4 linked regions of the Tamandua tetradactyla genome follow. The protein of the gene in region 4 interacts with the protein of the main gene of each other region in a pairwise test. Links are inferred from orthologs where the notes say so. Each region holds a gene or a part of one and is shown on either strand. Other genes may lie near its edges.

What was found.
Region 1: the proteins of CEP57L1 (region 4) and RAD51D interact in binary tests that used the Homo sapiens proteins (3 or more experiments, as listed by UniProt). The two-hybrid records come from large-scale screens. The link is inferred for Tamandua tetradactyla from reciprocal best matches to the Homo sapiens genes CEP57L1 and RAD51D.
Region 2: the proteins of CEP57L1 (region 4) and MID2 interact in binary tests that used the Homo sapiens proteins (3 or more experiments, as listed by UniProt). The two-hybrid records come from large-scale screens. The link is inferred for Tamandua tetradactyla from reciprocal best matches to the Homo sapiens genes CEP57L1 and MID2.
Region 3: the proteins of CEP57L1 (region 4) and TXLNB interact in binary tests that used the Homo sapiens proteins (3 or more experiments, as listed by UniProt). The two-hybrid records come from large-scale screens. The link is inferred for Tamandua tetradactyla from reciprocal best matches to the Homo sapiens genes CEP57L1 and TXLNB.

The regions. Positions count from the first base shown.
Region 1 is NC_135332.1:46,247,414-46,255,111, forward strand, and holds the start of RAD51D (DNA repair protein RAD51 homolog 4), read left to right. Parts: upstream 1-4,518; 5' UTR 4,519-4,782; intron 4,783-5,020; 5' UTR 5,021-5,507; intron 5,508-5,817; exon of another isoform or gene 5,818-6,015; 5' UTR 6,016-6,051; coding exon 6,052-6,133; intron 6,134-6,545; coding exon 6,546-6,607; intron 6,608-6,790; coding exon 6,791-6,909; intron 6,910-7,698. Other genes in the region: FNDC8 (fibronectin type III domain-containing protein 8), read right to left, coding at 267-419, 1,063-1,299, 2,713-3,082, 4,157-4,365. UniProt on the Homo sapiens protein: Involved in the homologous recombination repair (HRR) pathway of double-stranded DNA breaks arising during DNA replication or induced by DNA-damaging agents. Bind to single-stranded DNA (ssDNA) and has DNA-dependent ATPase activity.
Region 2 is NC_135353.1:63,688,308-63,695,987, forward strand, and holds the start of MID2 (putative E3 ubiquitin-protein ligase MID2), read right to left. Parts: upstream 3,066-7,680; 5' UTR 2,892-3,065; coding exon 2,888-2,891; intron 1-2,887. UniProt on the Homo sapiens protein: E3 ubiquitin ligase that plays a role in microtubule stabilization. Mediates the 'Lys-48'-linked polyubiquitination of LRRK2 to drive its localization to microtubules and its proteasomal degradation in neurons.
Region 3 is NC_135351.1:39,321,119-39,328,405, reverse strand, and holds the start of TXLNB (beta-taxilin), read left to right. Parts: upstream 1-4,159; 5' UTR 4,160-4,341; intron 4,342-6,530; 5' UTR 6,531-6,544; coding exon 6,545-6,986; intron 6,987-7,287. UniProt on the Homo sapiens protein: Promotes motor nerve regeneration. May be involved in intracellular vesicle traffic.
Region 4 is NC_135331.1:167,541,558-167,549,359, forward strand, and holds the start of CEP57L1 (centrosomal protein CEP57L1), read left to right. Parts: upstream 1-4,792; 5' UTR 4,793-4,942; coding exon 4,943-4,945; intron 4,946-7,802. Other genes in the region: SESN1 (sestrin-1), read right to left, coding at 3,040-3,318. UniProt on the Homo sapiens protein: Centrosomal protein which may be required for microtubule attachment to centrosomes.

The sequences.
Region 1 (7,698 bases), on a different chromosome or scaffold from region 4:
TAATGAGGGACCTGGGCCCAGCCCAGATCTGGGGTAAGAGGGAGCCTAGCAGCTGTGGGCAGTGGCTGGGCTTGACCTTATCCAAGATGTCTCCAGATAAATGGGGCTCCCATCTAGTCTTGGCCCCAGCCCAGGGTTGGAGATAAAGTGCCACTGCTGCCAGGCCCTGGACTGGCAGTGGTAGTAGTCCCCTGGCATGGTTCTGGTTCCTGAGGGCCCTGGGCCAGAGCTGGAGGTAGTTAGGGGGTTTCCTGGAGCCTTCCCTGTTAGTAGGGAAATAGATACTCAAGATCCTCTAGCCTCCGCATGTCCTCAAGCCCGATGGAGATGGTTTTCCTCTGGGGTTCCCTCCGTTGCACGGTGACCTGGATAGGATTATTCTCAGGGAAGCTGTTGAAGTCAGTGGCCATGGTTGCAAACTGAAATAAGAAAAGCCCTCAGAATTCCTTCCATGACCTACCCTGGCTCACTTTCTCTGTTTCTGTCCACTAAGTAGGATCTTAAATAGCCTCATCCAACGTATTCATTGACACACCAAATAGGTCCAAAGATGGGACTTGATTTGCTCAAGGTCACCCAGCTGATAATAGACATAGGTATGCGTCAAACCTGTGCTTCCCAGTTGTGTGATGTTTTTACCAAAGGGCTGTCAAAACTCAAGCCTGTCTCCCCACTGTCCTCCACCCACACAGGTTATTTCCTTCATTCTCCTTTAGCCTCTTGTCCTTGCTCTGTTTGCCTCAATGCACTTAACTTCTGGTCCACTCAGAATTACTGGTACTGAGTTGTGGACTCCATAAGCCAGTGGTTTTGGATGGTGGGCATAACAGTGATGCTGATGTATACATTAGTTTGCATTCTTAGTGGACCCCAGTGAGGCTTAATCCTTACACCTCCCAGAAGAAAGAAACCTGGAATTGCTGCCATTCTCCCAGGAGAATAAGCTCACAGGGAGATGAATCAGGGGAGCGGTCTGGGGTTTTGCCCACCCTCAAAGCCCCAGCTCTGATTTCAGACTTTACTCCCTCATCCCTGGGGCCCCCCTTTTCTCCCAGGGCTTACTTTATAGGGCTTGCACCACTTCCCCACTCCAGCTGTGTTGGCTGCGCGGACGGTGAGGCAGTAACTAGTGTTAGGCTTCAGCTCCATCAGCTTGACGGTGGTGCCCAAGATTTTGTTGAAGATCCACGGGTGATTCTTTGGCTTGGGTAGCTCATCATCACTTTTCTTGACCATCTCCTGCAACAGGACCTGGTAGAAACTGACCTGCTGCTTGCCCAAGGCATAGGTCCAGGAAATCTAGGGGAAGAGAGCCCCCGAAGCTTCCTCAGACCTGGCCTTCCCTAGCCGCTTCCCTAAGTGGGTGTCAGTGCCCCCACTTCCATCTCCTGCCAGAACTGAGGCATGTTCACTGGTAGTTGGGAGGCATTCCAATGCTGAATGTGGGACCACCTTCCCACCAGGATGTGCTGCTCTCCCTGGCCAGCCCCCGCACGAGGGTGTTCCCTCATTCCATGTTTCTAGACCTTAGATTCTGGGTCAGTTGAGGGGGATCTTGGAGATCATCTATGTATGCCACTCACTGAACATGGGGTTACAGATCCAAGAGGGCAAGTAACTGGCTAAGAGTCATAGCAGGTAGCAGAGTTAAGATTCAAACCCATAGCTCCAGAGCTCACACACTTTACGACAGTGATTCTCAAACCTGGCCAAGGATTGTGGAAAGTTAGTTACACTGCAGATTTTTGGGCCTATTGTCTCTGGTCTCCCCATTTCCAGTTTTTCCTCAATCTAGGCTAGTGGTTCTCATACTCTAGTGTATCAGAATACCCTAGAGGACTAGTTAAAATGCAAATTGCTGCCCCCCACCCCCACAGTTTCTGAATCTGAAGGCTCACGGTGAAACAGAGAGCTTGAATTTCTAGCACGTTGCCATGTGATGGTGATGCCAGGGATCACGTTTTGAGAAAACCCTGCTTGCTCCTGGCCATCCAACAATGAAACTTCATGTTTTATCTTCCTAAAATACAGAGCTTTCAGATGTTACGTATTGCTACAGAAAAATCTATACGGTGCCTAACATTGGAGGGCCTCTGTAAAATGACCAGACCAACTGTTCCCTTCTACTCCCCTCTCCTCCCCTTCCCATATTCTAGGCTCTGGGGGATTTGTTAGAAATGCAAATTTTCAGGCCCCACCCCACACCTGAATCCGAATCTCTGGAGACAAAGCCCAGGAATCTCAGTTTTAGCAACATGGTCAGGTGGTCTATAGGCACCTGAAACTGAGAAGTATTGGATTAGGACCTGGGATCGACTGAGGCTACTCATTTCCTCCCATGCTTTGGCACCTGTGAGCTAGCATTGCGGGATCACGTGGGATGCCTTTCCTCCTTGCTCTCTACGTGTTTAAATCCTGAAATTCAGCTCAAATGTTACCAAAACCCACGAAGCATATTCCTGCAGCTGGAAGTAATGTTTTTTTCCCTCTGAATTCCTAGTGATATTTAATTTGTCCTTTTCCTACAGCACTGAGCCCTTTCTATCTTGGAATTCTTTAGAGATCTGCCCTCTTTCCCTTACTAAAACCACGAACTTGAGGTCAGGTTGCAGGTCTTGGCATCTTCATGCTTCCCACAGAGCTCAACTCAGTGCTTGCACAGAGTGGGCAGCAAGTAAGGCTTTGCTGAACTCACGAGCATGGGGAACTCACCACAGCCGTGGTATCACTGACGGTGTGTTCACAGATGAAGGGTGCATCTGGCACGTCCACAGTCACAGAGGATTCAGAGAGCGTTGAGGAGGTGTCTGTGTCCAGCTCAGGGTTGTCAAGGTCCAACAGGCCCCCAGGGACCACTTGGGACTTATATTTGTGGGGACAGAGGGCCAGGTCCCCCTTATCTTCACTCTTGGCGAGCGTGGTTAAGCTGAGTTTATTCAGCTCTCCCTCCGGTATCCCTGCAAAGAAGCTGCTGTTCAGCTGGGTCACGGCTAGTTTGATGGGGTTCAACAAGGTGGATGAGATGGAGGAGATGCTGGTTTCGTCGGAGCTGCATTCGGAATCCTCCGCTGGCGTCGGCTTCCTGGAGCGGGCGGGGGGACAGGTGAGCCAGATGAAGGAGGCTCTCCTTCTCTCCCATTATACCATAAAAATTCCTACAAGCACCCTCCATTTTAGCCAGAACTTCTTACTACAGTTCTCTTAGGGAAGGGACACCATGCTCTCAGCCTCTCATATAATCAGGACCAGCTACATAGTTTGTGGAGCCCAGTGCAAAATTTAAAAGTCTGTGACTCCTGATTTAAAAATTAAGAATTTTGAGACAGTGACAGCAGAGCATTAAGCTAAGCACGGGACTCTTCTAAGTGTGGGGCCATGTGTGACTACACAGGTCACACACCCACGAAACATATGCCCACAAGTAGTTCCGTCAGCGCACATCACCTTGCACTACCATCCCTTCACTGGCTAAGTTCTTCCCTTCCTTGGAGATTCAGCTCAACTATCACCTCTTCCCAGAAGCTTCCCTTCACTGCACACAGCCCTCAAGCTATACTAAGCTGCAGCTTCTGTTTTCTCAAGGCACTCTACCAGACTATGCTGTAACATTCATTTTCCTACCTGATTCTACCCCCACCCCCACCAGACCGGGAACTCCTTGGAGGCCAGGACTTTGCTTTCCAGATCTGCATTCAGGAGTTAACACTGGGCCAAACACCTTGCAGGTGCTCTCAGAGTTTTGTGAAATGAGATAACAGAAACCCAGAATCACCAAGGAGAAAGACTAAATTTCACAGTGAGGGAAGGCAGGCTCTTGGAGGACATAATCAGGCTGGTACCGAGGGAGGATTGAGGGAGAGGCGCCATGGGAGTTAGGAACTCATTCAGGCAAAGCAGGATAACAAGTGCAGTCAACAGACCCTTCACTAATCCAGGAAGGCCCCCTGGAGGTAGGGGTCCAAGTGCCCTCAAGAGCTGATCAAGGGCTCTGGAATACATACACAGCTCAACCCCACATACATCCTTTCCCCTGGGAGTCCAGTGACTTGGTTGAGACAGGTCAAGAAATTAAGTTTTCTTCAAGGCACTCCTCCCATCCCCCAGTTCCAGCCTTGGGAGGAAGGGAAGAAGGGAAGGGACCAGACTTGTGTCTTACTGTGAAGTGTTGTTCTTTTCCTCCAAGAAGTTAACCAAACTGCCCCCGGAGGAAAGTGGGAGTCCTTTGATAGTGACAGTCTGGTTCATAGACTTGGGGTTTGGAAAGGGCTTCTGCATTTGATCGAGAGCATTCAAAACGTTGAGGTTTTCCTGTCTCAGCACGGCCTCTTCCCCATCTCCCAGTTTGCAGAGCGCCTGTGATGCCATCTGGTTTATTTGAGACCACGGTTGTCACCATGCAGGACAACCAAGCTGACAGGAAGCAGAGAGAAACTGTGGGTGCAGCAGACCGGCTCTTAGTTTGGGTGGGACAGGGGTGCAATGAGCTGACTTCATAATCATTGGAGAGTGTAACAATTAAGGGTTAGTCTTGCCTTACCTGGAGGTTGCTGCTGCCCAGCTCACTGTGAGGCCAGACCAAGGGCCAGCATGAGGAGTGGAGTAGAGTGAGGGGCTGGACTGCATGAGCTCTTATGACCCTGCCAGCTCTACATGGTTGCAGCAGACCTGCCCTTCTCTGAAGGTCTCAGGATTCTTAACACCCATGTCCTTCAGCGCATACTGTGTAGAAGGATAGTAGAGAAAGGAAAATGGGTGTGGAGAAAGGCAGCAGTGCCCTGGGAGGTAGGTAATGCTGGAACAAGACTCTGCAGGTGGGAGGCTTTATCTGTAGATGGTGAGGTGCTACACCCTGAAATCCTAGGCAGCGGGCTCCACCACGTCCAGGCGTGGAGGCATACGGAAAAAGCCCGGAAGGCTCATGGCTCACGTATGACCAAGTGAACCATGGTCTATTATGCTACAATAGAATATCTATTATTCTAGCATTATAGAATTTTAAATGTGTCCCTCTCTCCCCTAGGTGTCTTCATGTATGGAGTGGCAGTGGCTGTTGCTGCAGAGGGATGCAGAGATCAGCCACGCATCTTTACTCTTAAGAAAACCACTTTACGTTCGGAAACAGAGAACAGCTTTGAAGGAAGGGAAGGATAGATTCCAATAGTGAAAAGACACTGACTTTGCATAGGATGGTGGTGAAGAGTAAAGGTGTTCACAGATGTAAAATCTTATTTCTTTCAGCAATTAAACCAATGTAGTGGACACTTAAAAATACCAAATCATATTTTTTATTTTATATATTTAGGTTTTCTTTTTTCATAAAAAAGAAATTTGGAAAATTCAGAGAAGCTAGGGCACTCTCTTAGTATCAGTCATATAATATGTAACTAAATTAATTAATTAGATTCCTTTTCATTTTTTTTTCTCGCCTTCACTAAAATGTAAGCTCCCTGAGGGTAGGGGATTGTCCTCAGCGTTGAAACCGAAGCTAGCACATAGCTCACTGAAAGGTTTGTGGGTGTGTGTTAGGGGAGGGACTTGGGAAGGTAGAATCCGGCCGTAGAGCACGTGTTGTGCATGCTGGGCGACGTGTGGCCTGCTGTGCACAGGACGTCGTGAACTTCTATGAGTATGTGATACTAAGGTGGCGGTGGAGAGGGGTGCCGAGCCCGCGGGGCCGGATGATCTCCGCGCCAACCGCCCAGGGTGGCGGAGGCCGCGGTTCTGTCCCCGCGGCCAGCAGATGGTGCTGCAGGCCAGGCCCTTGCCGGGTGCGCGAACCTGGAAGCAGGAAGCGGCCGCGCAGAGCGTCCGGGGCGGGCGAGCGCTGCGCGCGGGAGTCCCCACCGGGTCGCGAAAGGGCGGGCTGTCCCCCTACCCGGGCCTCCGCCCCGCCTCCTACTTCCAGAACCCGCCCCGCCACAGCCCTTTTCAGAAAGCAGCGGCGGGGAGCGTCTGGGGAGGGCCTCGCGCTTCCCCACCCGACAGGCCCACCCCCTCTTTCCCGCTCCCTCCAAGCCCCGAAACTCGTGCTGTCCCAGGCCTACAGCGGACATGGGCGTGCTCAGGGCCGGGCTGTGCCCCGGCCTCACCCCGGAGATGGTCCAGCTTCTGAAGAGCCGCGGAATCAAGACAGGTGACCACCTGTGCGCGTTAATGCGCATGCCAGGGAGCCGAGTGTGAGTGTGCACCGGGGAGGGGTGTGGAAGTGTGTTCATGCCAGGGGCCCATGCGCTCCATCCGTAGTCGGGGCAGACCCACCGGGCCTGGTCATCTCTGCCCTGGCATAGCTGCGGGGCGCTTCCGTCACGTTTCTGGAGGGCCATTCCCCTCATCAGCCTTCTTGCCCTGTCTGAAGAAAGGTAGAACCCCTACAACGGGCCAGACACAGCGCCACCTGTTACTGCAGCTAAGCCTCCTCAGACAACCTGCTTTGAGAGTGAATTGTTACCCCTTTTTATTAGATGAGGAAAAGCCAAGTGGGAAGGTCCAGACTCTCCTTCCTGCCAATAAAACAAACTACACCTGTTTTTTTTTTTTTTTTCCAGTGGTGGACCTGGTTTCTTCAGACCTGGAGGAGGTAGCCCAGAAATGCGCTGTATCTTATAAGGTGAGCTAATGGTCCCCATCTCCAAATGTGGGTGTTTTTAGAGTCCATCCCTATGCAGAGATGGGCATGAGACCCCGGGATGACCCCTCCTGTGGGTGGTTCATTGCTGAGAAATTGTGGGCTGCTCTGGATTGAAGGGTCCCTGGCCAGATCCTGAGTGGACCCCCCCCCCCTCTTTGGCAGGCCCTGGTTGCCTTGAGGCGGGTGCTGCTGGCTCAGTTCTCGGCTTTCCCCTTCAATGGTGCTGATCTCTATGAGGAGCTGAAGACCTCCACTGCCATCCTCTCCACCGGCATTGGAAGGTGTGTATGTGTATTTGGGAACGAAGCTGCCTCTCAGCTCAGCTTTTGATCTTTGAGTCTAGAAGAAAACAGGATGTTTGCTTGTTTATTTCTTAGCAGTAGTGAGGACAGCATGGGCAGATGGGAAGGAAAGTGGTCAAGAATTGTGGTTTCACAACCTGGGTACTATTGACATTTTGGGCCAGATAATTATTTTGTATGGGGGCTGTATTGTGCATTGTTGAATGTTCAGCAGCATCCCTGGTTTTTATACCCTGGATATCAGTAGCACTCCTTCCAATAAAGACAGTCAGAAATATCTCCTGACATTACCAAATGTCCCCTGGGGGTAGGGGGCACAGAATCACCCCTTGGTTGAGAGCCACTGTCCTATAACCCAAGATGTCGATATTTCATTGTTGCTCAGCAGATTAGTTTCTGTCTGGCCCTGTCTTCCATTTCACTTAAGGGTAGAACAAGTGAGAACATGGCAGGACTAACATTTGCTGAGTGTCTAATGTGTGGCAGGCTTTGACTATAGGCTATATGCAACCTCCTCTGTTGCTAACCTACAAGTTAGTAAATATTAGCCCCACTTGGGTCTAACCCAAGGGCAGTGGTTGGGCTCACAATCTGGGGTGTTTGACCCAGAACTTGATCTTTCACCCTCCTCTGCAGCAGTAGGAAATGAGAGCACTTACCTAAGGGAGACATTACACTCTCCCATGTTGTTTGGATTCAGAAAGAGTTGGAAGATGAGAGCCATTTTGTGGCCAAGTGAGCCTGTATTAGTTAGATTCAGTTGTCAAC
Region 2 (7,680 bases), on a different chromosome or scaffold from region 4:
TTAAACATGGGCAGGTACCAGAATGGCAGGCGAAAACCCTGCCACTGGGCCACCGTTGCCCTCTTCACCTCTTTTTAAAAGCTCTGTGTCCCTTTTGGGAAAGAGGAAACTGGAGCACAGAGGGATGGGGTGAAAAGATGACATTCTCTCCTCTCTACCAAGCCAGTGAGGTTTGCTGAGTGGTAAAGACATACTCCTTCTGTAGTTTCCTTCTCAATTGTTATAGCGTCAGCAGATTTTATGGGAGGAGGGATGAGAGAATGAACAGGCTCACTACCCAGAGCAATTTTTGGAGACAATTATGAGACTCCACCAGCTCTGTGTTAGGATCTGCAAGTCAGAGCAAGTTGCCCTTCACTTAGAGGAGGGATTAACTAAACCAATTTCATTTAAATCAATTTGTACTGTTCAGATGATATGTTCATGAAACAACCAAGTCATTGATTTGTGGCAACACTTCCCAGAGGAGGCCTTGCAAGGTACAATATAATAGATGAGAATTCTAGTAGTCATGGAAGTAAATGGGAAGGAAACAATCACCCCTTCATATGGCTAGCCTCTACCCCTACCCTCCATAGTTCCTCCCTTTCCCAATCCTGGAGCTGCAAGTATGAAAGTAGGCCTCAAATAAGCAAGAAGCCAAAACATTGGGCCAAGCCTGGGGCCTCAGTGCAATCAGCACAGGACTCTGCACATTGTAGGTGCTTAATAAATATTGACTCACTGTTGCTAGATACTAACTTATATAGCCATGTCTAAAATTACTTATGCCATTTTTTTTCAGCAGAATTTAAGATAACTTAAAATAATCACCATTACTCTGTACACCTAGTTTTAGTTTTCATTCAGTTGTATGCTTACTGAAAAAAAAAAACAGACTTAAACATAACTACAATCAGAGATTTGGCTCTCAGGGTAGCTGCTATGACAAGCTAAAGTTTCCAGTAAACTAGAGTTTCTGATATTCCTAGTCAATCCACCATTCCAATACAAGGTAAATGAAGTACTTTCTTTGAAAAGTATAATGTTGAGGGTTTATAGAAACCTTTCATCTTCAAAGGACCAAGTCAAGACTCACAATACCCCAGCACACAACTTTATGCCTTTTACACAAGTGCACCGACTATGAAAGAAAGGTCATAGGAATGCCCTAAAGCCATAAGGTCAATGCAACATCAGATTTGGGATGAATTCTCTGATATACTTGGCTCCTAGGCCTGTATTTCAACCACATAAATCAACTTGTGAAGAACAATCAGGAGAAGCCTAATTCATATTATATATCTCTGTTAATGCCAGAGACCCAGGTTCAATCCCTGGAGCCTGTCCAGGCCAAAAAAAAATAGAAAATAAAAATGAAAAAATATATCTCTGTTAAGTGATTGGTCAGGAATACATATATATATATATATATATATATATATATATATATATATCTTTTATATATATATAATAAAATAGCAAAAGTTCTTCCCTCCTCAGAACAGTGATAAGTGAAGAGCAAGTGGAAAGGGGGATATAGTGTTGGGAGAGGTACCCAGCTGGAGTGGAGCAGCAGTGCTTTCAGGGCAGAAAAGAAGTAGGGAGAGGGATTTCCAATTCAGACACCACCACCCCCTTCTATTGGAGCATTGCCAGAGAACTGATTAGAGAACTAGAAGAGGACTCTGTGGGGTTAAAGGCAGCCCTCATGGGTCCAATTTGAGAATCAGACGAATATCAACCAACACACAGCACTTGTCTATTTACACAGCTTCCAATATATTTCTTTTTTAAGGGTCTCTCCCTTTTGTTTTAACCTCAGAAACATAAAACCGTTACTACCCCAACGTCAGAAATACTGAAAATGGCAAAGAGATTGAGAAGCAAAAGGCTGCACAGCTGGGAGGTTACTAGAGTGCACAGGTTGATGGGGAAAGGCTGAGGGGTGGGGTGGGAGCATATGGGAGATTTGAAGTGGGTGGGTAGATGTGCGACAACGTGGAAAGAAGGTGAGTGAGCGTGGTGGGTAGGGGAGTGTGGAAGAGGGAAAGCGAACAACCCAGCGACCATAGAATCCCAATTTCCTGCTCTGAGAAGAAATGCCTCCGAAAAATAATTTCGCGCTGCACACGAAGGGCTAAGTAACCTAAACCTTATCATCAACAAATAATGTTTCTGTAAATCTACTCCACCGCTATTTACTTAATTCTTAGGAGACAGGAATGTTAAAACCCCACGTCTCCCCAGTCAGTCGCAGTCTGTCTTGCGGACATATGTAAGTTTTTCCTCTCCCCGGTAAAGCTGGTTTCACAGCTAGGCCAGAAATAATTAGCCACCCATACAGAGACTAGATGATTGCTCCTCTGGCAGAAGAGGGATTAAGTTTCGCCGGGCCTTCCCACCACCAGGATGTCCTCAGCATTTCGGACTGCTGCGGCAGCCACCGCGGGGCAACCAGCTGTCTGAGGGACGCCGCCGGGGCCGAGGAGGCTGCAGACAGCGGGAGCGTGGGAAGGCGGCTCTGCCCTTTCCCAGACTCGCGCCCAGGCGCCGGAGGCTGCGGGATGGCGGGGTGGGGGCGCTTCACTGCCCGCTCCGGGCCGATCCGGCTGCGCGGGAGGCCTCGGGCCGCCCCCACCCGCACCCGGGAGTGCAAACTCCAGTCCCAGGAGAGCAAGGGCAGGAGCCTGGGCCCCAGCGGTGCAACGGAGAGTCAGGGCCGGGCCGGGGCCGCGCCGCTGCCGTGAGCCTCGCGGGCCGGGTCACCCCGCCCCGCCGAGCATCCGAGCCCTCAGCCCGGGCCGGGCCGGGCCACCGCGGCACCTGAGGCGCGCCAAGAGCCCGGGAGCTCTGCGCAGGCGGCGGCGCTCCACCCCTGGGGCCGCGGCGAGGGGGCGCATTTTACCCATAGCTTTGCCAGGTGCCAGCCATCTCCTCGGCGCCACTGAGGGCGCTCGGCGCTCGCCTCCCTCCGCAGCGAGCTGGCTCCGGCTTCGGCCCAAGTCCCTGGCCGCTGCCGCCACTGCTCTAGGCCGCCGCCCGCCTTCGCCGCCTTCGCCAATGCCGCCGCCGCTGCCGCGCAGCAGCCGAGATCCGCCCGCCCCGCGCGCCCCGCCCGTGACAGCACGGCGGCCGCGACGCTGCAGCGGTTGGGTCTCCCAAGCCAAAGTTAAAGAGTTTTCGCCCCCTCAGCCCACAGGCAGCACCATGACACCACGGCAGCACCACACTGTCATTTCCGCCGCCGCAGAGGGAAAAAAAAAGGCAATCCCTTCGAAAAGGGGGGTAGAGTGCGGGCAAACAGGGTTGGGCTGACGCCCGGAGGGAGGTCTGGGAAGAACCTGGCAGGAGGGCCGCTCAGCCACCTTCCCGGGCTCACCTTCCTCCGCCCCTGCCGCTCCCAGCTTCCCCAGCCCCTCCTCTGGAGGCACGTTTACATGTTTTCTCCCCTGGCAGGAGTGACCGGAGAAACCTGAGCAAGGAAAGGCAGCGGGGTGGGTGGGGTTCGGGTTACTACTGTACCTACCAGCTGATTCCAGCAGCCTTTTCTCCAGCGCCCTGTCATCTTGAAGGAAGACACACCGAGAGGGGCCCAAGCAGGCGCGTGTGCGTGTGTGTGTGTGTGTGTGTGTGTGTGTGTGTGTGTGTGTGTGTATGAGAGAGAGAGAGAGAGAGAGAGAAAGCGCAGAATGTGTGAGGAATATAAAAAGAAGACTATGGCCAAACTCTTCTCCTACCCACCACCACCCTGGACCCACAAACACCCAGATCAGAACAAGAAAAAGGATGTTGCAATAGGCATTAAGAAGAAAGTGCCTGGGTCCAACCGCATAGGTTCTCGGGTGAAGCCACCCTTTGCAAAGTTAACTATAGAGTAAAACAAAAATAGTGGAGGAGACAGAAAAGGGCAGACAATTGAAGGAAACCCAACCCCTCTTTCTTTTTACAAAGGGAGAATGGCTGTTTTATTGGCCTTGGGCAGAAGTTGTGGGGATGGATTAAAGAAAGCCACCAGAGCAAATAAAATAAAGTAGGGTTGCTTTTTGTTTGTGAGTGTTTTTTTTTTTGCACCTTCAAATCCTTGACCATCAAAACAAGAGTTTACAAGGGGACAGATGCCAGCTCTTCAAGTATTCAATATCCTTGATAAGCTAATTGGCCCACCTGGAAGCCAGGGCATCCCGTTGGTCTGGAGTCAGATTCTCTACTATCATTGGCTCAGCTGCCTCACTCACGGCATAGATGGAAGAGGGAAAGAGTAGGAGGCCACAAAAAACTTGGTCTTAACATGGGAGAAAATGGAGAAAGAAAGGAGCAAATGAGAGTTAATATGCACAAACACACACACACACAGAGACTTCTCATTACTATGCATGGGAACAAGTCCAGAAAAATTAACTTAGCTCTGGGTGTATCCATCACGGAACCAATAGTAATCAGCCAACACCCCTGTTAAACAATGTACTAGAGAGTACTGAGGTGGAAACAAGACAAAAATCACAGCCAAGCTATCCTGATGAAAGTCTGGCCCAAGAGAAGTAAAAGTTGAGTCAGACTAAAGCAAAAAATGCTTACTTGGTACAAAATTTATATTTTGACTACTGCAGTTCCTAATATAACTTATGTGAACAACTTAATTGAACACCATAAGTACATAGAACCTTGAGTAGGGCATAAGATTTTGTAGGTTTGTCCAGAGTGATGCCCCAATAAATCCCAGAGTGATTTGAACACTGAGTAAAAAGTATTTTCAAAGTCCCCTTGGAGGAATGGTGAGAAAGGAGGAAAATTCAACTTCCCCAAGTGGAGAGTTCTTGATATTCTCACAAGCAGTGGGGAAAACCAAAGCAATAGGCTGAGCCCCCAATCTTGGGGTTTGTTCATATGAAACTTAACCCCAAATAGGAAAAGCCAAGCCTACTTAAAATTAGGCCTAAGAGTCACCCTCAAGAAAACCTCTTTCGTTGGTCAGATGTGGCCTCTCTCTCCAGTCAACATAACAAGCAAACTCACGGCCCTTCCCTTGGCTACATGGGACATGACTCCCAGGGGTGTGGACCTTCTTGGCAACGTGGGGCAGAAATCCTAAAATGAGCGGAGACTCAGCATCAAGGGATTGAGAAAACCTTCTTGACCAAAAAGGGGGAAGAGTGAAATGAGACAAAATAAAGTGTCAATGGCTGAGAGATTCCAAACAGAGTCTATGCATTAAATAGATATCACCTTGTTAGTCAAGATGTAATGGAGAGGCTGGAGGGAACTGCCTGAAAATGTAGAGTTGTGTTCCAGTAGCCATGTTTCTTGAAGATGATTGTATAATGATATAGCTTTCACAATGTGACTGTGTGATTGTGAAAACCTTGTGTCTGATGCTCCTTTTATCTACCTTATCAACAGATAAGTAAAATATACAGAATAAAAATGAATAATTTTTATTTTCATTAGGGGGAACAAATGTTAAAATAAATTTAGCAGATTGAAATGCTAGTGATCAATGATATAGCTTTCACAATGTGACTGTGTGATTGTGAAAACCTTGTGTCTGATGCTCCTTTTATCTACCTTATCAACAGATGAGTAAAACATATGGAATAAAAATAAATAATAGGGGGAACAAATGTTAAAATAAGTTTAGATTGAAATGCTAGTGATCAGTGAAAAGGAGGGGTAAGGGGTATGGTATGTATGAATTTTTTCTGTTGTCTTTTTATTTCTTTTTCTGAATCAATGTAAATGTTCTAAGAAATGATCATGATGATGAATATGCAACTATGTGATGATACTGTGAATTATGAATATATATTTTAAATGGAATGATCATAAGTTAAGAATGTTTGTGTTTCTTTGTTATATATTTTTAAAAACTTAAAAATTAATAAAAGATTTTTAAAAAGAATGTGTTTGTTTCTTGTTATATATATGTTTATATTTGTGTTCTAGTTTGCTAGCTGCCAGAATGCAATATACCAGAAATGGGATGGCTTTTTAAAAAGGGGAATTTAAAAAGTTACAAGTTTACAGTTCTGAGGCCATGAAAATGCCCCAATTAAAGCAAGTCTATAGACATGTCCAATCCAAGGCATCCAGGGAAAGATACCTTGATTCAAAAAGGCCAATGAAATTCAGGGTTTCTCTCTCAAATGGAAGGGGATATGGCAAACATGGTCATGGTTTCTCTCCCATCTGGAAAGGCACATGGCAAGCATGGCATCATCTGCTAGCTTCCTCCGCAGGTTTCCTGGTTCATGAAGCTCCCCATGAGGCATTTTTCTTCTTCATCTCCAAAAGTTGCTGGCTGGTGGACTCTCTGCTTTGTGGTTCTGTGGTATTTTGCTGTGGCTTTCCTGTGGCTGTCATCATTCTCTGCTCTCTCAGAATCTCCTCTTTTATAGGATTCCAGTAAATTACTCAAGACCCACATAGAATGGGTGGAGACACATCTCCATCTAATCAAGTTTAATACCCACAGTTGATTGAGTTACATCTCCATGGAGATGACCTAATCAAGTTTCCAACCTATAGTACTGAATAGGGATTAGAAGAAACCATTGTTCTCACAAGATTGATTAGGATTAAGACATGGCTTTTCTAGGGTACATAAATCCTTTCAAATCTGCACAATATGTATATATAAAACAATCTCTGAGATACTGTTAAATGAAAAAAGGAAAGTGCAGATCTATGCATGGTTTGCTACTAGTGTAAAAAGAAAGGGGGGTAGATATGTCCCTGTATACTTGTATATGCATAGACTCTTCTACAAAGGTACTTAAGAAACTGAATGACTGGTTGCCTGGGGGATCAAGCATAGGAGGGAGAAATACTTTACATTATATATGTCCTTTTGTATTGTTTGAATTTTTTTATACTGTGCATGTATTACCTTTTCAAAAAATTAAATAGAAGAAGGAGATATATAGAACAAATACAGATTATCCTATCTATGCAAAAATATTCTTATATGTGCAGGTAAATGCATAGAAAATAACCTGGGGGCACACTATAAACAGTGTGAGCCTGGAATTGGGGTGGGTGTTGAGAGGTCTTTCACTTTTTATTCAATATATTTTGTAACCATTTGAATATTCTACAATAAGAATTTATTCATGTATCCCTTTTGTAGTTTTTTTAAAATCAAGAAAAAGGTATTTCTCAAAAAAAAATGTTGAACCCAAAGTTGAGTCAGAAGTCAATTGATTCCTGTGAATTATTTTTCAACCTCATTTGATCTGATCTCCCACAGAAAGGTGGTGAATTTTCTAAAATATAAAGAAGTTACAGCTTTTCTTATGGACAATACTCACCACCACAGCCACCACTCCCCTCCATATACACACACAAGAAAGCTAGATAGCTCCTGGCAGAACTGGTAGTAGAGAAGATTTGCTTTTAATGGCTTTTATTGTCCTATAGAAACCACCCTACCCCTCACTTTTTAGCAGTCTCCCCTCCATCTGGGCTTCCACTGCTTTCAAGCAAGTCTCGGCTTACCAGAGCTCTATACTGATACCCTAACTCCATCTACTTTCCCCAGGCAACAATCTATATTCGGAACCTTTCCTTTCCCTCTTCAAAATTTACCTGCTTCTGTGTCCCTTTCACACAGGATCTTACTAAGTGGTTAAGCAATTCAATCAACTAATGTGAACTAAGATGCTTATAGTTCATTCATTCCCCCTTAGAAAATATTCAGATTTT
Region 3 (7,287 bases), on a different chromosome or scaffold from region 4:
GGTTTATCCTATAGGGTTTCCCACAGACTGGATTTTGCTGAATGCACCCCTGGGGTGGATGTTAACATGTTCCCCTGTCTTCTGGGTGTCCTGAGAATTGGTAGTTAGATCCAGAGGCTTGACTGGATTTGGGGGTGATTCTGGAGAAAGACAGCATCATCGGGAGAGGTGTGCTATTCCACCAGGAGGACATAAAGCCTCTGGCCACTGTCTTTAGGACGTTAGCCCCCTTCGATGCTCAGGGCCTACACCTACTCATTCATAAGTGCTCAGAATGTGCTACTCCGATTCTATCCTCACACCCTCATTTATTCGTGGGACAACGTCTGAAAAGGGAGAGATGTTACCCCGTTTGGCGGGGTGAATAGTAGCAAACCCCCACCCCTTAAAACACTCAAGTTCACCTGGAACGTCGTTTGGAATTAGAGTCTTTGCAGGTATAATTAGGTATGGTGCGGTCATACTGGATTAGAGTAGACCCCAAACCAGTGACTGGTGTCTCTACAAGGAGGAAGACACGTGAGAACAACCAGGCACAACCAATCATCCTCGTACAGGAAAGGCAGGATTGTACCTGATTCTTCCCCTGGATCTACCAGTTTTCAAAGTAATGAGGTAGTTCACCAACTCCTCCAACAATGAGCATTTTATAAATTTATCATTATGAACCTTATGAATTAAATTTAAGCATCTATGATTTCTTCTTTTTAAAATTTAACCCGTAGGCATTTTTAATTTTCCTGAATTGACTTTGTCCAAAAACAGTTGCTCACCATTGGCAGAAGTTGTTGTCACTGTTCTTAGCTGCAAAGGGCTTGCGTGGAACAGGAACTAAGACGAGATCACGAAGAGGCCCTGGCTTTTGGCAAGTGGGTCACTGGTCTCCCACAAGGACACATTTCCTTAAGTTGATGGGGGGCAGATGCAGAGGTTTGCAGTGATGGAAAATAGAGGCAAATGGCATCAATGCTCCTTATATAATTTTGGTGATGAAGTGAATAAGCAATAATGTTTAGTGTTTCTATGTGCAAGGGTCATTTATTCCTCATGACAACCTTAAAAAGGGGGGTATTAATTTCTCAGAGCTGCTATAACAAAAGTACCACTAACTGGTGACTTAAAACAACAGAAATTTATTGGCTCACATTTCTGGAGGCCGGAAATCCTAAATCAAGGTGTTAACAGGGCCATGTTCCCTCTGAGACCTCCAAAGAGGATGCTTTCATTGCCTCTTCCTGGTTTCAGGTGGCCCCAGGCATTGCTTGGCTTGCGGCAGCTACATCCAGTCCACCTCCACCTTTACATGGTTGTCTTCGCACTTGGGTCTTGTGTGTCTCTTCTCCCTTCTTCTAAGGACACAAGTTATTGAGGTATGGCTGGAATCAGGATGGTGGCTGGCAGAGCAAAGGGCAAATATCCAGAAGCATCAGGCCTCAAGGGGAAAGAACAGCCTGAGAAGAACAGCCATAAACGGCATCTGGTGGAGCCAACCGACCCTGCCGGAGGGATCATCTACCATCATGCATCCACAGATGCGGGGAAAGGAGGGGCAGTGGAATAGTTAATAAACATTAAAAAGGAACAAAAGTGTGTGAAAGGTCGGGGCCTCTCTCTTCTCATCCCTCTTTTCTGGTGAGCTTGCCCACATGTCCTCTCACCCACATTCTCAGTAAATGTCCTACCTGCTTGCTCTATGCTATGCTGTGCCCTTGGGTCCTTCCTCGCAGCAAAGCCATGAACCTAGGAAGCTGAGCCCTGCTACAGTATTGGATTTCGGGCCCACCCCACTCCAGTAGGACTCATGTCAATTATTTCCATCTGCAATGACCTGATTTCCACACAAGATTGCAGCCACAGTTTCTGAGGGTTCAACATGTCTTTTTAGGGAATACAGTTCAACCCATCACAGGAGGAGCTAACTTCATCCCTGTTTGCTGGATGGCAAAGATGAGACACACAGGTTAAGTCACCCGCGCTGGTCCACACAGCTGGTACATGGTCAAAGCACACTCCGAACCCAGGCCGCTGGGCTGCTCTGTCCGCCGGCCCGACACTGCAGGGCAACCACACACAAGACAGGAATTTAAAAGGAAGGGATTTCTACATGTGCTTTCTCTTCAAGATAAAGGAGATTTAATCCTATTTGTGGATAAAGCCAAGAGGCCAGGAAAAGAGAATAATTGAGTAATGGAATTTAGAGGGAAAAAGGATTGGGCAAACTGCTAAGAGAATAGGATTAAGAACATAATTCTCATCCCAACTGCTTGAAGCAACAGGATGCTCCCCAGAACCCACTGTCTTGGCTCTTGTGTCCTATGCTGTCTAGTATGGGTGGGTGCTGCTGGCTGCATCTGGCCACCCCACCCCCACCCCCGTCCAAGGCATGCTTAGGTGAAATTGTGATAAACTGTGTATGTGAAATACATACCAGAGTTCAAAGACTTAGCACCAAAAAAAAAAAAAAACAGAATGTAAGATATAATAATGATGTTTATATTAATTATATGTTAAGATGAATATTTTTAAAATTATATTGGGTTAAACAAAATATTATGAATAATTTCAGCTGTGTCTGTTAACCTTTTTTAAATGTAGCTACTAAAAAAACATGAAATGACGTAGCTGGCCCCTGTCCACGACTGGTATTGTGTTTCACTTGGACGGAGCAACTCTAGATGACACACATCCACCCTGGGTCTACAAGACGGTGCCAAGTGGACACTGCCCCTCCCGCCTCACCTCCTGCTGTAGGCTCAGTCCTCTCCTTCTTCCTCGGGGCTTCTGAGCAGTCACTTCAGGTCCAGGGCACGGGAGGGAGTGGAGAAGGGGGCACGGAGAAGGGGAAAGCGCCCGCCCCTCTCGATAAACAGAACTTCCTACTGATGAGATTGGCCACCTCTTGGGATGGCTCCAGTGCGCTATTTCTCTGCAGTATTCTTTCCCTTTTCCTCCCCTTCTCCAAGAACCGTTTCTGTTCTCCCAGGGTGTTTGGACCAGCAAGAAAGGGGCAGAGAAGAGTGGACTGCATTTGAGAGTGGACTGCATTCGTTTCACTTTGCTGCTATAACAATTAATCCCAAACTCTGTGGCTTAAAATAACACATATCTGAGATTCCACTGTTCTGGCGGTCAGACCTAGGGCACGTTTCCTTGGTTTGGAGTCAGGGTGTGGACAGGGCTGGGTTCCTGCTGGAGCCTCGGTCCCTTGCCTCGTCCAGCTTCTGGAGGCTTCCTGCACGCCATGCCTTGAGTCCCACCCTTAACACCCGTTGTCACCTCTGGCCTCCTCCCTGGTCCCCTCTTTCACCTGGAAGGAGCCCTATGGTTACATCAGGTCCAATCTGGGTGAGTCAGGAGACTCCCCTGTTTAACGTAATCAATCCACGAACTCCCTTGGTCTGCACAAGGCAGCACGGTCACGGGCTCAGGGATTTGGACATGGGCCTCCCGGGACCAGCATCCTCGCTTCCACGGGGGTGTCGCTGCCTCCGGCCCGGCTGGTCAGGCTCTGCCTCAGACCAGTGCAGACACGTGATCCAGGAACCACGGGATGGGGTCTGGAGAGAGGCATTTGATGGGGAGTGGGGAGGAGGGTCTTTCTGTGAGGAGGACTGAGGAGGACACCCCCGGGAGGAGCTGCTGCGGGAGGAGGGACACGCAGGCAGCAAGTGACAGGCGAGCAGTTCCCTGAGTGCGGCCTGCGGCCGGAGGCCACGCGGATCACCACCGGGGCTCCAACCATGGGCCAGCCCTCCAAACACCAAGTAAACTTTTATTACAAATGTTGCCAAGAAACCAGACAATAACATCAGAAATAAAGTGCTCCCAGCACTGGACCCGAACTAGATTGGACTCCTTCTTGTTAGGCCGCTGTTCCCCTTTTTCCAGAATTCCTGTAAGAAACTCGGCACTAATTAGACTTGCCACACTGGAAGTATACCAAGAAATAAGAAAAACTGCTCTCCGCGCCCAAGATCAGCAATGGTGAGAAGCTGCGCCTGCAAACGGGCTGCTGCCGACTCACGGTTTACATTTTTTAAAAGGACAAATCGTGGAGGAGGGTCTGATAAGCTCTCCCAGCTGCTGAACTCCTGCCGGAGCTTGGGTGCCCTTGTCTCTTGCTGTGTCACGCCGCCTTCCCTCCCCTGCCGGCTCTGGCCCACTGCCTGTGTGTGTGCGTGTGTGTGTGTGTGCGCGCGCACTGGCGTGTTTGTCTATGTGGTCTGTTTCCCCTGTGAGAACCCGGCCTGCCTGTCTCCTGCTGTCCCTGCTGCTCTGACTTGTTCTTTGCTGCCTCTTTCCTCTCCTCCCTTCTCTCTTTGCTCAGCTCCTAGCCTGCCGGTGAGTATGACAACCACCCCCCGAGGCCTACGAGAAGAGGTAGGGTGCGGTTTGTGGTGTTGAAAACATGCAACTTTGAGATCGAAGTGAGCTGTTGAAGAACTTTCCACTGCTTTGTTTGTAAGTGAAATGCGTTGCTTAGGAAGGAGTGCGTAGAACCTGCTGAGACCTCTAGTGCAAGCACAGGATTCTCTCTTTCAGAGGAGGGAGGACAATAAAGTTTATACAAAATAAAATTTAGAAATAGCTTTTGCTGAAAAACTAGCGAGGACAGAAAGGGACAGTTTAAAAAGGAACAGAGCTCCTTGGACTTTTTCTTCCCCTCTTGTTGATTTATCTGGAGGCTGCTCCTAGGAACTGAGCTGTCCTGTGGCTCACAAGGACGCTGTCATTCTGCTTTAAAGTGCATGTGGAGCGGGAATTGGAAGGATAGCCATGGAATTAAGTATAAAAACCATCGGTGGTCAGGGCATCTGATAAATACAGCGCAAATCGAATGCAGAGAACTTGTATCTGCACTAACCATACTAACACGCCTTTCAGTTGGCTTTAAACCCATCACTTTGAAGTTCGGTCTACTTTCAATTTGATTTCATCCTGAAATAGCTTCCCTAACACTTTACAACCGACATATGAACGGAAACCCTTAAATGTTTACTGTTTTCAGATTGATTTTAAAAAGTGTTCTCTTCCCTTGGTTTCTGAGGATGACATGCTAAATACCATGATGCCTTCCACAAGAGCTTAAAATAACCTCTGGCTGGACAGCAGGTGCCACATGCCCCCGCCTTGAGCTGGGGGCGGGGGCTGGGAGCGAAGTTAAATATAGCCGGTGTGCACAGCACGTAGGGGGCAGGCCATGTGGCCGCTGACGGCGTGGCCCGGTGACGAAGCTGACCGATGGAGTGGGTGGAAGGAAGGGCTTCCTTCCAAGTGAATGAGAGCTGGGGGGGGGGGGGGGGGGCCTCATGGGAGTCTCCATTCATGCTGGTGTCCGCGAGGCCCGGGAGAGGGAGTGGGGCGGTCACGCTGGCGTTTCCTCTCCCTGCCAGCGCGGCAGCACACCTGGGCGCCAGGAGGAACCTGCCAGGTTTCTACGCTGTGAATTAACAGGCTCACTGTGAAACACCCTTTACAAGCGGAAAGCTATTCTATCTGTTTCTCTAAACATCCTGGCTGAAAGGCCCAAGCTAAAGCTCTTGCAAACTCAGAAATGGAGACCGCCAGAAACCCTGGAATCTTTTGCCTCATCACGTCCCTCTCGGACTATTGCCCGGATTATATCTGGATTTTTTTTCCCCAATTCATCCTTTCCCTGAATACTGGCCACTGCTATTTCTTAAAAATAAATAAGTTATTCTGGTGTTTCTTGACTGAGAAGAGAAAGCTGGGATCTGTTTTATCCTAAAGGAAAGTGGGTTTTAATGTTGGAACAAATGTGTATTGAGTAAATTCAAGAATTATCATGAGCACCACCGTGTAGTCACACTGGGCAGTCCGTTTGTTTATACCTGCTCTCACTGTCTTATTCTAGAAATGATGCTAGTGTGAACCTCAGAAAATGTGTTTTACTAAATGACAATTACATGTTACTCATCTGGGAAAAAGAAAACATTGGAAAAGCAAGAAAGTACCTCCTGCTTTCACCATTTTTGGTGTAAGCATTTACACCAAAATATTCATATTGATCACATCTTGAGTTATGGATTAAAATAGAGTTTAGGGATATTGTTGTAATGGATACTTTTAGTAGACTCAACAGCTCTTGCATTAACTGTTTTAACTTTGAAAGAAAACTAATACCAATTTAAATTTCAACCTTTAAGTGTATTCAACCATGTGCTTCCAACGATTTTGAACCTACATAGAATTGTATGAGAGAATGATAGCCACTAACTGACTATTCTAAGCAAAATGTCAAACAGGGCCATGCAAAGGAAATAATAGCATGAATTACTCTTTTCATGACAATAATAGGGGACACAAGTGGAATGCAAAGACCAAAACAAAAGTATGCTAGTAGTATGACTCAATTTGGAGAAATGACTTCCACCTGTTACTACCTTACTAACTAGCATCAGTGGCTTATGAAGGGGCGTTCAGTCAATGTTAGAAACCCATTTGGGGTTGTCCTTACCATTTACATACAGCTGAGTTAACTACCTTAACCTAACTGTGCTCATCTCTAGGCACTGCTCCCAATATGGAGACTGGTCAACCCATACTACCCTCAGTGGAACCGCAGTCAACAGCCCCAGGGGATGGAGAGGAGAGTTCTTCATTGCCACCGAGGCTAAATGGCCTGGAGAAGCCAGATGGCCAGGATTCCTCACCCCCAATCCAAGAACCAGAGAAAGGGGCAAGTGTGCAGCCTGAAAAGGCAGCTCATGATATCTCCGAAGAGTTGAATCGACAACTGGAAGACATTATAAGCACATACGGGTCCGCCGCCAGCACAACGGGGCAGGAGGGCCCTGGCACAACCAAAGAGAGGGCAGAATCCCTTGACCACGAGGAAAGGGACTATGAAGAGACCATGGAAGAGACTGAAAGGGAGCCCACAGCTTCTGGAGAGCCACCTGCAGCCAAAGAGTCTGTCGGCAATAAAGAGCAAAAATCGGAAAAGAAAATCCTAAAGGGATTAGGCAAGTCATTTGTCCTACTCTGTGGCTTTTCTCTCTTTGAATCTGTCCTAAAATGGGGCACTTCCTCTGACCTTTACTAAAAGCACATTTAGATAGATATGTCTCTCATTGGTTGGTTATAACAGCCTCCTTCAGGGATGCCCTGCATCTCCTCTTGCCATACCTGCCCTAGCCCCTCCCCCTCCTAGGGCTCCGAGAACACAAGTGGACTTCCTATTGCTGTTTGGAAGATGACCAAAATCCTGAACATGGTCTTTAAGGCCCTAACCAGGACCTCCAACTTTACCCCACATCACTGTGC
Region 4 (7,802 bases):
GATGTCTCATAGGTACCTTAACTTCAACATGTCTAAAACAGAACTCATCGCATTTTTATCTAAATTGATCTCCTGGCACTCTTCTGCTCAGGAAATGATTGCACTATTTATCAAGTAGCTTAAGCCAGAAACTTTAGAGCCATACTTGATTATGTTATTTTTCTCATGCCTCAACTAGTGGAATAACCTCCTGTTACTGCACACCTACTCTTGGCCCTTGAAATCCATTCTTCACATTGCTTCTCAAATGATGAATATCATCATCTTGGTCAAAATTCTTAAGTGGCTTCCTGTTGTTCCTAGGATAAAGTCCAAAACCCTAAACATGGCCTACAACACCCTCTGAGATCAGACTCCTGCTTAGAATACCTAATGCTTACTTAGATTTCTTAACTGCTAGCAGCTATGCTATGCCTTGCAAACATTACATTTTATTCTCATAGCAGTATTGTGAGGCAAGAACTATTAGCGTCACCATCATTTTGCAAATGAGGAAACTCAGTCAAGGGGATATTGTGCAATTTGTCCAAGGTGGTAAAGCCAATAAAGTATTGGAGGCAAGATTTGAATCTAGATCTGTCTGGCTCCAGAGCATGAGCTCTTAAACATTCACACTCTCCTGAAACTGTATGCTCCAATCATTTTGCATTACTTTCACTTCCTAGAACTCATATGCTCTCTCTTACCATGAGGCGTCATACGTAGCACTCCCTATATCTGGAATGTCCCCCTCACAAATCTCAAATTGTACAGGACTGGATATTTATTCACTCATCAAGTTTCTGCTTAAATGTCATCCCCTCAGAAAAACCTTTAATTTTTTAATAAAAAATTAAATTTTTTATTTGTTTAGATCTTCATGGCCTGTCTTTCTTCAATAGAATGTGAAAATTGTTCACTCATCCCCATTTCTTAGAATGGCATTCATTAGAGGGTCAATAAACAAGTGTTGAGTGAGTGAATGAATGATATAAGGGTGGTTATATCATTAATCTGGTAACTTCATCTATTCAGACTGATAAGATACAGAGAGAAGCCCAATACAAATGTCTATCCATTAGATATTTACTTAGTAGCTTCCAGGTCCCAGCCTATACTCTTGACAAATTACAATCTGGTGGGCGAGACAGACACATAAGCATGTGGTTATAGCACAGTATATGTAAAGTACCTGTTATATATGTGGTAGGAATAAGATGCAATAGGTGCCCAGACGAAAAAGACAGTATAAAGCTATGAGAAATCTTCACAGTAGAGGAGATTCTAGAATCCTTTAGAAGGATGGATGGGTCTTGAAATATATATTATATAGTCCATGTATTTCATCTAAGAAAGGGGAGATGAGCATACACTATTTACTGGGACACTTTATATCTCATTTAATTCTCAAAGCAGCTCTCTTTTTATGGATGTGGAAATTCAAGCTAAGAAAGATCAAATAAGTTGTTCAAGATTATGGAATACATTAAAAGAGCAGAATCTGAACCCAGATCTGTCTGACTCCAGTACCCATTTACTTACCAATATATCACAGTACTTTTACTGCGTACTCCCTTTGAGGCTGCTTACTTTTATTTTCAATATAACTTTCAATAAAATTGGTCATCTGGTTTCCCAGTCTAATATAAACAAGCAGCAAAATGAAAGGTTCAGGAAGAGACCAAAGTGAAGTATATGGATAGCAAAGGGAGGGACAGAAAAAACTATAAAAATTGGACACAAAAATTTAAAAAAAAAGCATATCAGGGAGTATCTGTTAGTGCAGTGTTATACAGTCCTATACACTCTACCCTCCACTGTACAACACTACTTGATGTGCATAATAATGATGACACCATTACGAACAAAAAGGTTGTTATGGTCACTACAGTGTAAGAGATAGAGAAATAACTTCTGATGCTTGAGCAAGTAAACTTCAGGTATCTTAAAAATTAATTTCTCCCTGGTAACTATGGTTAAATGAATTATAATGGTTGTTTTCAAAGTGTTGAGAAGAAATAGCCCAAGATCTTAAACAGTCTTTTCATGTTATGGAATTGTTTTCCTGATGCCTTAAACCAAGATCAAGAGAGTATAGAAAAACTGTCAATCTCAGCTTACAAATATTGCCAAGTAAATTATAAATTTTTAAAACTTCTCATACTATGACTTTGAGCAACACGTGTGGACTGAATAATGTGTAGACTGACAGTCATACATGAAGAGTGTCAATGAAGAATCTTAATATCTAAAAACAACCAACATCTAATAACCTTTCAATAAGTCAGGATAAATTGATTATGTATAAAACAGGGGGAAAATGATAATATTTTTAACCTGCTGCACTCATAAATAGGTATGTGAAATAGAAAAGAAACAACTCTAGGTAACACAGAAGATGGTTGAATTATTTACCATAAAAATGTTTTCACTATATACTCTACCTGGATCCAACTTTTTAACTTGAAGATGTCTGCTTTTTTTTTTATAACAAAGGATTTTATAATTTTAATAAATTTACATTTAGAGAACACACCCTAGATTTTTTGTTTTTGTTTCTTTTGCTTTGTCTTTAGAGAACAAGAGAAAATTTGTTTCACCAATTATCTTGAACAGGCAAAGAAGGAAACATTTAATATCCTTTATAATTTGATATGTTTTTGAATGTAAAACTTTTCACATAGAACATAGTTTGCAACAATGTAAAAAGCTAACAGTTCACAACATAAAAGTGACTATAAGGAAAAGCAAGTCTTGTTATTAACTGTAACTTTCACCTATTTTTTTTCCAGAAGGAATGGAGTTGCTGTCTAAAACTGTCTAAAAAAAGAATACTTCGTTTATTTATATTTGGAAACTATTTTTACTTTAGTTCATTTTGTTCAATTTAAACCCCCAAATCAGTGTTTTACAGATCATTCTAAACTTAAGACATGGAGTGAATTTATAATATGAATTCATAATATGACAATCTATTGGAAGCAATACAAAGTGAATAATAAAATAAATAAAAATTTCACTGTACATAGACATAGTTGTACTTTTAATATTCTTTCTTACCTGGACGCTCTTCAGAATAAACTCACTTTTCTCTCGTACATCTTTAAAAGGACACCTCATAGAAAGCATGAGCAGATGAGCAAGAAGCTTATTCAATCCATCCAAAGAAACAGCATTTGAAAGACCGTCTGATGGACGAGAAGGTGTGTCTTTTAACGAACGAAGATACTCGGTTTTCCTCAAAATGATTTGTCTAATGCTTTCCAGTGCTGTCTCTCTAGTACTTGAATCTCTACTGCACAGACCATCCCATCTCACTTCACTCTCTCCTTCGGCCATGACAACTTGGGAGTTTTTCCTTTCCAGTCTTCAATTATCTTTCACCATGTCCCCCAAGGCACTGTATTTTTAAAATGAGAACTATAAGAATAAAATCAGAGAAATCGAGTCGTCATGAAAAAACACGTTTGAGTAACATTTGGAATCAGAACTCTTACATTGATGCTTTCAATTCTCTCCTTTTGCAAGAAGGGGCAGTCTTCTGGTCAGAGACTGGAGAGAAAAAAAAGTTGGAAAGTTGTAACCCTACAGCGCTGGCTTTGCTGGACACGGCGCCTGGAGGAAGTGTTCTCCGTCTCGCCCGGTCAGCGGATATCCTCACGTTGTGGAGTTGTCAAATCCGTGCTCTGCCCCAAAAGGCCGGTAACAGGGAACGCTCTCCAACCATTCGGGTTTTTTAGCCTGAGCAGTCACCGCGTTCTCGGGAGCGTCCCCGCCCTCCGCAGCTCCTCCCTGCGCCGCAGAGGCCAGCTGGGTGCCGGCGGGACGGCTCGCCGAACCCTGGCCCACTGGCCGCCGCGGCCAAGAACCCGGGCGCTCCCTGGGGGCGGTAACCTCCAGCAGCCGCCGTCTGGGCGAAGGCGGCAGCACTGTTAGAGCACAGCACTCACGTCCAGCCGATTCGAATGCCCGGAAAAATGCCGCTGCTTCTCCGAGTCCTGTGTCCTCGGCCAGAGTCCGCCAAGCCAGACGGGTACTGGGCGGCCCTGGCAATCCCCGAGCGTCGGGATGGGCCGCTGAGCAGGCTGAACTGTAGGGCCGGAGGCGCAGAGTCCGCCCCTACGCCCAGCCCCATCGGTGGGGATCGGCCCAGAGGCGGGAGCAGGGAGGGGAGATGGGGTCCTCACCCCCAGCCCCTCCCCTTTCTCCGCCCGGCACAAACCAGGAGCCGCCCCTGCCCCCGCGCTCTCTTCCCCGCCCAGACGGACGAGACCCGCGCAGGCAAAGCCATTGGAAAAAGCCCCGCCCTCCGGCAGGCTACCTCCAGACCCTGAGTCTGCGCGAGGTGGGGCCAACTGCTGCCGGCTGCTACGCATGCGCAATGGCGAAGACGGCGCATGCACCTCCAGAGGCATTTAATATTTTGTGGGTGCGAGTGTGGGGGTGTCGTTTTCCGTTTCCAGGCATTTGGAGTTCTGGAGTGGAGAAGGGGAAAGAAGAGTAAGAAGGAGTAGAAGTTCGCTGAAATTGTTAAAAACAATACGCACGGCAAAGAAAGGAAAATCCTGAGGCTAAATTAAGACTAGCCTAAAAATGGTGACGGCCTCTCTGTTACGCCAAACCCCAGATTTAAGTAGCTAGGACGTTCTCGCATTGGCTTCTGGGAAATATAGTTTTGATGCTGCCGGAGCGGTCTGTTTGCGACAGAAACTACAAGTCCCAAAGGCCACCGCGACGTTGCCTGCTGCGGCCTGTGAACCAACCGTTAGCTGAGGCGCGAGTTGATTGAAAGCGCCAGCTTGGTGAGGTCCGTTGGCTACCTTTTTTTGACAGGACTTTTTCTTCCTTCTTTTCTTCTGGGATCTTGAAGACGAGATCATCTAGAGCACCCCCCCTCAAGTGCGGGGGCTTTTTCTGATGACCTGAGTGGGAAGGGCTAGTCCAGGTGCCCATATCCCGTGGTATGGTGAGGCTCGGATTTGGGGGTCGCGATGTTGGGGGTCGGAGGGAGTGGCCTTCTTTGGGAGTCAAGGGGGAAGCTTGGAAACGGGTGCTGCAGGTCCGCGCTGTCGCCGGTTTTCGCCCTTGCAGGTGCACACACGCGAGATGGATTAGGAATTCTAGTGCAATTGCACCTTGTTTGCATCTGTACCGGGATAGACTGGGCTCTGTTTGGTCAAAGCACATCCCAAGCAGGGCGTTGAAAGCGATTTGTCAAATAACGTTTTGCCTGGGACTAAAGGAAAAAGAATTCCTAGTGTTGTTATATATGACTTATGCAGACTTTAAGGATACCATATGAAAAACTCTAAAGACCTCTGAAATTAGTATCTTTAAAGTTCAATTATTTGTTTACGAATAATTGTTTGTTTTAAAAGTCATTCTTTTTGAGAAAAATCGAGGATTGGAGGGTAATAATGATAATCAGACTAGATTTTATCTCTTCACGTTGCAGAATGTGTAAGACTTTAGTCTTGCTGGGCATAGTGTACAGCTGTGAAAAAGACACGGCCCCTGTCTAGTTAGTAAAACCAATGGTTAGGATGCACGGGTGGTTCTTTGGTAGAATGCTTGTCTTCCATGCAGGAGACCCGGGTTCGGTTTCCGGGTCAGGCACCCCCCCCCCAAAAAAAAAAATAGTTAAGCGTACAATTTCAGTACTATTATGATAGTGCTCTTGTTGAGGATGCTAGTAAGGTCACCTAGCCCCATCTTGGAAGGCAAGAAAGTCTCCTTCCCAAGGTAATTGGGGATCAAAATAACAAAGAGCAAATGCTGAGGCCCAGGGTGAGAGAGATTTGATACTTACAGGAAACTGCAACAAAACCAAAGCTATATCATTGAACTGATTTATACCACCAATGAATTGGTCTAATTTGGCAAGTTTTGCTACATTTTAATGCTAATGGTTTGGATCTGAGTAAAGATGGTGTTTGGGTTTGCTAAAGCTGCTGGAATGCAGTATATCAAAAAGGGCTTGGCTTTTTCAGTGGGGATTTATTAAGTCACAAATTTGTAGTTCTAAGGACATGAAAGTGTGCGAATTAATGCATCAAGAGAAAGATACCTTCTTTGGGGAAAGGCTGTTGACGTCCGAGGCTGCTGGCATTAGGGTTTCCTCTGTTACATGGGAAGACATATGGTAAGGTCTGCTGGTCCTTCTCTCCAAAATGTGTCGGGGTTTCTGTGGGTCCTTGCTTATTTCTCCCAGGGTATTTCTGTCTCTTAGCTTCTCCAGGGATATTTTCTTTCTTAGCTTCTCCCTGGATGTTTTCTTTCTAAATTCTCTCTCCATAAGCTCACTTAAAAGACTTTTTAGTAAAGGATTAAGACCTACCTTGAATGGACTGGATTACATCTCAATTGAAATAGCCTAATCAAAACAAGCTTCACCCATAGTAGGTCTGCACCCACAAGAATAAATTAAAAGAATGTAGTCTTTTTTTTTTTTATAACAGATTCAAATCAGCACAGGTGGGAATAACTGCTCTTATGAATGTGATTTACAAAATAAAAAAGCCCATTTCTCTCTCTGTTGTGGGCTTATCCTTCTTTACCCAGCCCACAAAGTCTAAGTCCCCTTTTTACTCTGTAGCTGAATATGATCTCAGCCATACCCATGGCTTCACCACTACCTATTTGTGGATGACTCCCAAAGGTACAGCTCCATCGACTTTATCTTTCAGCCTTCATATATCCAATGATCTCTCTGCTGTTTCTTCTTGTATATCTCAAAAGCACCTCAAACTCAATATGCCTAAAACCAAATTCACAGTTACCTGGTTCTCTTCCAGTGTTCTGTCTCAGTATACTACTGTCTGTCTACTTGTGAAATTTTGAAAGCTAACCCTCATTCTTGATTCCTTTCTGTTCTTGTACCTCTATAGCCAAAATATTACCAAGTGTTATCAATCTTAAATCCCAAATACCTCTCCAACCCATCTGTTTCCCTTTATCTACATCAGTACAGTCCTATTCTAAACTGCTATAATCTCTTGTCAAGACCACTGCAATAGTCATTATTCACTCTGGGCCTCCTCCATTAGTTCTCCATACAGCAGCCAGAATGATCTTTTCAAAATGCATCCCATTGCTCTTAAAATAAAAACAAAACTCCTTAACATAACCTTTAAAGCCCAGCATCATCTGATTGCCTTTCCACTTCTCCAGCTTCACTTAGTATCATTCTCTAACTCTTTCCCTGTGCTTCAGCCGTAGAGAGAGACCTTTCTTCAGTCACTGGTTCTCACCACATTCCCTTTCACCCATTCGTTTATTCAACATAATTGTTGAGTGCCAACTATGTAACAGGATATAACACTGAGTACACATACAAGTCCCCCCATCCTCCTGTTATAGAGCTTGCATTCTGCTAAGGAGAGATAGACGATAAATAAATAAGTAAAATATTTAGTACATCAAATGAAGACAGATGCAGTGGAGAAAAATAAAACTGGGATGGGGAATGGTGCCAAGTTGTGGGGGCAGGGTTCACTTTTATATATGGTGGTCACAGATGACTTCATCAGGAAGGAGACATTTGTAGGGATCTCTGTAGGGGATGGAGGATTAAGCCATTAAGATTCCTTGGTGGGTGGGGTGGGGGGAGAATATTCAGGAACAAGGCCTGTGAGGGACCATGCCTGCACATTTAAAAAAGGAGGCTTACTCTGGCTGGGGTATAGTGAGTCAGGGGATAAAAGCAGCATGAGGTCAGAGTGGAAGAGGGTAGAGCTAGATCATGTAGGTGATTGAAAAGACTTTGGCTTTTTTTATTGATATGAAGAAGCAATTGGAGGGTTCTGAGCAGATGCAGGCGGGGT